Bombyx mori: one gene and its partner. The protein of the gene in region 2 interacts with the protein of the main gene of each other region in a pairwise test. Links are inferred from orthologs where the notes say so. Each region holds a gene or a part of one and is shown on either strand. Other genes may lie near its edges. The genes, in order: cyclin-Y-like protein 1 and cyclin-dependent kinase 14.

What was found.
Region 1: the proteins of cyclin-dependent kinase 14 (region 2) and cyclin-Y-like protein 1 interact in a two-hybrid assay, tested with the Drosophila melanogaster proteins (2 studies listed by BioGRID). The link is inferred for Bombyx mori from reciprocal best matches to the Drosophila melanogaster genes Eip63E and CycY.

Annotation. Positions count from the first base shown.
Region 1 is NC_085110.1:6,232,003-6,236,354, forward strand, and holds cyclin-Y-like protein 1, read right to left. Parts: upstream 2,950-4,352; 5' UTR 2,740-2,949; intron 2,638-2,739; 5' UTR 2,516-2,637; coding exon 1,505-2,515; 3' UTR 689-1,504; downstream 1-688. Other genes in the region: uncharacterized protein LOC101741971, read left to right, coding at 287-456.
Region 2 is NC_085117.1:9,225,780-9,229,619, forward strand, and holds part of cyclin-dependent kinase 14, read right to left. Parts: intron 1,810-3,840; coding exon 1,635-1,809; intron 1-1,634.

The DNA of each region.
Region 1 (4,352 bases), on a different chromosome or scaffold from region 2:
TGCACCCTTAGCGTTTCCCACTTTGTTAAATGACAGTAATCACTCACCATTAGATAGGTGATCTGCCATGAATGACAATAAAAAAATGATTTTCATCATCCTGGCCTAAAAATGTTACTGAAATGTTGATAACAAATCCACAAAAAACCACTACTAGTAATACTAATTTCATTTGGTCTTAATAGATTTATCTGAACTAGTATATGTTGTAAGATCATATTTTATAATGCATAAAACTTACAAAGTTAATAGTTTTTAAAATAACTAATTAAAACTGTCTTTTCAGGCAACATTGCACTACATATATTTTCAGATAGCACAAGAAAAATGTATGATCTAGAAACCTTATGGTCTGTTGGGCCAGAATTTGATGGACAGATTAACAAAAAAAGTGATGTTATAGATGTATTTGAGAACTATAGTGCTTATTTGAAAGATTTGAAACCATTATCATAAGATCATAAGATCTGATATACTGAATAAGCTGTAATATGGATTTTTTTTAAGGTTTTTATGAGTTGTATTATTGTTATATGTAAGTGAATAAAAATTAGTAAATATAATCTCATGTTGTTTTTTAATATTCATTTTGTTATAGCAACAACTGTATTATAAGAAGTTTAATAACAGAAACAGGATATTAAACAGTACAGTACTTGTGTGTACTGTAGTAATTAATACCACTAAGTCTCATATAAAATGTTTTATTGAAAGATACATAAAGTATGGATTGTATAATTGAATTTTTAATACACATATATTTTATAAATAAATACGAAACAGCAGATTCAAAACTTCCTGTTTCAATAATTGTTTTGTTCATAAATTAACACATTTTTAAATATGAATAATGATCACACAAATAGTTGTTATCTAAAATAATTTGGCATTATTAATATTCAGTTCAGATATATTTAAATGCTGTATGACAATGTAATAAAATTGACAATAAAGACTACAATACATCCATACCACAATCAAAAGATCATTATGTCAGTCAAAATGCACTTGCACATACTATAAAATCTAAAAACTACAAAATAGCATATCAATAAGTATGGAAGAAACTTAACATAAGAAAATTTAAATTAAACACAAAATTGGAAGCCAATATAAAGTATGTTTCATTTAATTGTATTTTTAAATAACATAAAATAATATTGGACCACTTACTAGTCTTTCAATTCTATTAATTGCAATTTAATAATAATACTTAAGATAACCATCATTTTAATTGAAAAATAATTTTATGTACAATCATTAAAATTTTGTATGGATAATTTTACACTTACTCTTGAAATAAAGTAACAAAATAATGATCCTTTTTTATGAAATGTGAGATTTTTCATTTAACATAAACTTACTTGTGGTTTGAATGTTTATTCTATATGTAAAATGTTATCTCACTGTAGAAGGCAAAAGTTGGTGTCCTCTGTTATTATTTAAAATCATAACTTGGTCAATTTTTTTACTACTTTGGAAATAAATTTGGCTCCAACATGAATTAAGACAAAATGGCTACACTTCGTCTTACTCCAGCACCAGCATTAACATTGTCTAAACTTGACCATTTCTTAATACCATTTTTTACAATTTCAGCAGTTATTTTGTCTTCCATAACTCGTGACATCGCTTCTAACTTTTGTGCCCTTTCCTTGCTAAGAGGCTCACTAGGAAATGCTAGGTCATTAGCTTCAGCAAGTGTACGTAGATCAAAATAGTATTTAGCATAGACACTCGATGGAACATTGATATTGAATTGTAACATTTCTAGAAATTGTCGTTCAAGCTCATTCATATCTTCAACAGTTATATCTTTTAGAATTTGACAGTAGTCAACATTCCAAACTGCTTGATCGTCCCATACCTTACTCGCTAATAAGATTGCCCCTAATACAATTCTTTTCCAATTTGAAGGTGCAATATCAAGTTCAGCACAAATTAGAAGTCTCTCTAAATAGACTAGAGTAATAATAGCACATTCTGCAGTTAATTGTGCTGCATTAAATAATGTTCTTACAAATTTATAAATCTGCTTATGCTCTGGATTGTATTTATCATAGTCATCACTCACACCTTCTTTGCTCAAAGGATGAAGTTTCTCATCAAAAATATCTAACCTGCGCTCAGACATTCTATTCTTTATGTGATAGTAAATAGCAAGTGCTACACACCTCACAGTGTTTTTCAAATTTGGTTGAGACACAGTACTATCATCTAAGTAAATTGTAGAACAGGAACTGCTTTTCTTTAATTTATTGTCAGCTATTTGATGTTGGCTCCGCTTCCTAGTCATACCATTCTCTATTGAAGCTTTAGAACGTTCCATGAAAATGGTGCCAGCCATCGGATCTTGCGATGGATCGATGTCGCCATCATCAGGCTCCCTCTCGCTGATGTGTTGTATGTTATTTGAGCTTACTTCTCCTTCTGGAAGATAGTCTTCCAACTTTACTATATCTTTGCGAATGGGAGATGGACTCCGATAGCAGCAGCAACTATTTTGATTACCCATGATTTTACAACATATGACGATTATAAAGAATGTTCGTTATCATTCTACACACATTGTGTCACGACTAGATATACGGAAATAATAAGCCGACACAGAAATAAGACATAAAAGGCCCATAGTACCTGAAACAAAAGGCACAGATGAATGTTGAGTTACGATTTATGATACTTTTGTCGGTGTTGAATATAATCTATTAATCAAGAACAGTCTGTGTCGTATTATACCTTATCATTCTTGATTTGTGGAATTTTCTGATTCACAAATTGTAGAAATTTTAGAATTCATTGCATTCATTCATGATTTTTTTGACAATTAGTGAGGGAGCATTTTCCGTAATCACTAAGGCGTAGACACACAGTAAGGATTGACGTAACCGATAATTCGATTTTCATAAGAATCGCCATGATTGATTTTAATTTTACAATGGCCAGAAACAAGTAATATAAGTAGAAATAGGACTATACATAGTAATGATTATATAAACACCTTTTTTATTTTTTTATAAACACCTACAATGATGTTACATAAAATAATATTTCGGAGATATTTAATGTCATTAAATCTACATTTATTAACTTTCTATCTTTTTTGAGCCGGAAAACCAAATCATGATCTCATAGTACAAACATGTATGGATTATTAGGTGTTGTTTGTGGAGACGAAGCTCACGAGTCACCTATGGTTACCGGAGCTGCATTACAACTTGAAACTTGTAATTCTTTTTAACTCGTGGGATCTGCCTCTTTCTAGTAAGGTAGCGTTAAACGTTTAACGCAACCTTGTTTGAAGTCGCATTAGAAGTTTCACTTAAATATTATATATAATTTTAATTAAATATATATTATATAATGTTTAATTTGATTTGGTATTATTTCCTTCTGTCAATGACTTTGTTTTTATTTAATTAGCATCGATTGTGTATTAAAATTATTTTCCAACAAATAAATTTGAGCTTAAAATTTATATGACAATAAACTTCTTCCTACCTAAATTGTTTTGCTAAAGCAAATGTTTAGTACCGCGAAAGTAAAAATTAAATGACAAAGTAGATATATAAGGTACCAATTTCAAAGGAAAAAACCTTTTAGGATCATTTACCTAACTGTATGTCTATCCGAAAATTACTAACTATTTTTCTCAGAGACTGGTTACAAGTATCAAATATTTAAAACTGGGTTTTTTTTAATAAAGGATTATTTATGCCTGGAGGACATTCCAGTTTCACCAGGACAGGTGGGCGAGCATGGGCTCAGCTAGAATGGATGAGATTTGCTAACAGCTGCCCGACCGTCTCATGAGGAGACGTAACTAACTACTCAAGGGCGGCTGCTTCGCGAATGAATCTTGTACCGGAATGGAATCGTGACCCACTGAAAAGATCTGGCGAAAGCTTCAGTGGGTTAATGTTTGAGCAAGGTTGCACGTTGAACTCTCTACAGCACAAAGTTCAAGGAGTACGGTTACTAGAATCCATCCATAATCCATCGTTTTAGAGCTGAAGGCGTCTAATGCAAGATTTATTAGATCTGATGGATCCGTAAGGACGTGTGCACACAAACGACTTCCACGATGAAGGAATTGTATAACAAAACACAATACATTGATGAATTTTGTTACATGATGTGTAACAAAGTTAAAGACGTTCGCACTTTGTTTACAGTTTACTAATGGAGGGTTCCATTGATCATGGAACCCCAAGGCCTGAGCTTTGATATGGATCTATTTATTTATTAAAAGCTTTGCCTCAACCACCTCTGAGATAGTAGTTTCCTATATTTAATTAAGTGTATAGTAAGACTGCGAAGGTTGATGCTATTATTATTCCTACAACGTTTTA
Region 2 (3,840 bases):
AATCCGATATCGCCCCGCACAAAATCTATATATCGATATCAGCCGATACACGTTATTGCTCGATGTGATGCGCATCGCCATATCGGACCGATTCGTGAATCGAAATCTATATTTCGATATCGGCCGATACACGATATTGCTCGATGTGATGCGCATCGGCATATCGGACCGATTCGTGAATCGAAATCTATATTTCGATATCGGCCGATACACGATATTGCTCGATGTGATGCGCATCGGCATATCGTACCGATTCGTTAATATCAGCAATATTCGTTTGGTTCGTATCGAATCGGCCAGAGTGAGTGAGCGCACGATAGGGATATCATGTGATGAATGAAACAGAAACAGGCATTATCCATACAATTGTAAACCTTATATTTAAGTCCATATGTCTGTAGATTATTCTTAGCGTATCAGCAGGATACAATTAAGGAAAGAAGTTTCAACTTTCGACCCTAACTTGAATGCAGTATAGCCTATTTGCATCGTTGAATTTAATTTCACGCGCTTTGACCTTGAACTAGAATTTTTGGACAAGTGTTTATAAATACTTAAAAGTTTTTTGTGTTTGATTTTTAAAGTACACATTTTTCTATTTTTAGTTGAATCCAAATAATTGAGTTTATTTCTTGTGTTTGTATTAAACTTTTGAAATCTACACTCTTTTGGTATATTTTGTAATTTTAAATTAAGACACAAAATACTAAAAACTGAAAATAATGTAGCCAGTCCTAAGCCTGGTAAAAGCATGAAGGAAAGTTTTTTTGATATTTTTATTTTCATGTTCTTTTTATTACTTTAAGATCATATTATAAATTGATATCAGAAAACCAACCGTGTAACGTTGACTTAAATCTATATCTACTACGATATTATATCAGCGTATCGTTTCAAATCTCAAATATCATGAATCGAGAAAATCTACTAGCATCCATCAATATATAGATTCAGAAAATATATAGATTCAATATCCGATATTGATCCTCGATATATAGATACGATTCGATACGCGGCAAAACCGATATTACCCACTCCTATTTCACGGACATTGTGAAATGAATTAAATTCCTTTCCACCAAATTTTCATATCAATATTTCCAAATATCACATGTGATGATCTATATAGAATTTATTTTAATTTCAACTTAATTATTAGTACTGCATCATCCTATGGACAGTCCATCCCATCAGTACAGCAAACTCCCATCAGTACATTTGTTGCAATTTAGGAAAAAAATCCTAGAGAATTTTCCACCAGAATTAAAAACAGACATCCTGTAATTGAAGACATGAGTGGATGAGGGGGTTAAGTACCATTTTTAAGATTTTTGAGGCTTTACATGGAATGAAGGTATTATGTGCTTAAAAACCATATTAGACCTTAAAACTCCTAGTTTAAAGGCTATTTTCAGAAATTGCATGTGATGAAGGAGTTACGTACGAAAAAGTACAAGTACCTAACAAAAGTTTGTTGCCAGTTTTCTCAAAATTAACAAATCGTATCATATCCCCTTCATCCACTCATGTCTTCAATTTTAATACACAGTAACACGAGAACCAGTCTTCTAGATTATCTGTTGTTATGGCCAATCGCAGCACAGGTGTGTTATTAAAAGTTCCTGTTAACTCACCACAAACTCGAAGACGAACGTCAGGGTCTCCCTAGTGTGAACTATATCGTGTAACGTGACTATGTTCGCGTGTTTCAACTCTTTGAGGAGCGAGGCTTCCCTTATCGCGGTGAAGGGCGCGCCTTCCTCCTCCTGCAGTCTGATCTCTTTGAGTGCTACCACTTGTTGCGTTAAACTGTTGACAAAAAACGTTACCTGTTTAATAACCGTGTCTGTGTTTTTTTTTTCTTCATAAAATCATAAGCTATAATTGTTTTAAAAAGAAATTAGGGTTTCTCATCTTGATGTTGAATCAATGAAAATTGGATTTGTCACGTTGAAATCGAAAGTTGTGTAACGTAAAAGGCAAACCGAAGCGAGTGATTCATTATTACTATCACCACTTACACTTCTCGAAGATAGATTGTCGCTCCGAAACTTAAATCAACTCGATACAGAATATTTATTGTCTAGATTCGTTCATTTATTAGTAAGTACACTTATAGTAAGGGATCTGGTTTCGGTAACTAACGCAACCATGACAGGAACTAAAATGTTTATTATTACTGACTTGTAAAATAGCAGCAATGTACCACAAATAAAAACCAGATGACACGCTAGGTCAATGTAACTGCGCGATGCGGGTTGCCTGTATCAAGTTTAATTTCCATTGCTGGCTCATTAACCATTATTGTCTTTTTGTTTTGAGATGATGTATCATTAATTTGTCATCGTTATCAGTAGCATTGTTAATAGCTAATAGCTGAGAGCAGTCATGAATGTTGTTGCATAATTTTAAATTCTAGGCTAATATTATTCAAATGAATTAATTTAATAGCGTGCGTTATGATTTTGACATTCGCGATGTTCTAGCTATTTATAGTTTACAGTGTATTTTTTTCCTGCTAAATATTTCCCTTATGCCTGAACACGAAGACAAATATCAATTTATTGTATAAGCAAATAGCTAAACTTAAATATTCAGAATCAATCGATGCGTTTTTAGTTTGGGTTTAAAATCGTTAAGCATCGCGCTTGGGGAAAACCTTGAAGTGAAATTGCCGGAATCGGTTTAATGACGCAACTTCTAGAGGTTTTCGCTTGATACGAGTAAACCTGGTACCTTGAATTTTTGGCCACGATGCCTTTTGAAATAATAATAATTATTATAAATTATTAAAAATAATTATTTTTATTGACTAGCAGAAGTAAAGTGTTTCACAAAAATGAAAATCCGGTAAACCTAGTAAACCTGGGACCTGATTCTTTTATCTACGATGACTTTTGAAATAATAATGATTATTATTATTATAAATTATTAATAATTATTATTATTGACTTGCAGAAGTAAAGTGTTTCACAAATATCAAAATCCAATCGTTGTGCGTGATACTCGAACGAACAAATATAAAATCAAATAAACAAAAACAAATTAGAGCGATCGATACACGTTTTGTTCATAAATTTTTTGCAAATATACCATCAGTTTCTGCTACAATTTTGTAACAATATTATATACGGACAATTCGTAATGACGGTAATTGATAGCTATCGTTCGTGCCATCAATACAACCGTTCATTAAACAAGGCGAGATTCATCAAGTTTCCTCTCTGAATCACGACCGACAAATGTCTCGCATTCGATATATAAATCTTACAGATATTCGTAACACATATTCGTAAAGTAAAAGTATTTGAAAGTAAAAAATGTCTTAGTCGTAACAACGTAATATATAAATCATTTACCTCTAAAGTTTCAAAGAATGCATCTGAACCATAATTACCGGTAAAGCCAAAGTGGATGAAGTAATTGAAATACAAAATTCTCGAAAAGTGAACGGTAAAATCGTCCACTCGACCTGACCTCACTCTGTGAAACCGCAGCGAGTTTCGACAATTTGATTTAAACTTTAAACAGGTCAGTTCAAGAATGAAATTCGTTTAATAAGTTAATAAATACATATCATAATTACTATTTCGTTCGTTTGAAATTTATTCAGTGCATAATTAAAAGTTTACGCCAATTATTTTGTTTTAAATGATGTATTGCATGTGTGAAACTTACACAGGCACGCAAATGTTTTGTAGTCTGATTAATTCGTTTCAAGTTCTTATCGAATACTTGACCAATGAAGTTGTTTACACATTCTTTACTACTTTAACTGGTAGTATTTTAGTAGTTTTTTTAGATAGTTTTAGTATTTTAAGTGTTAGTATTTAACTCGCA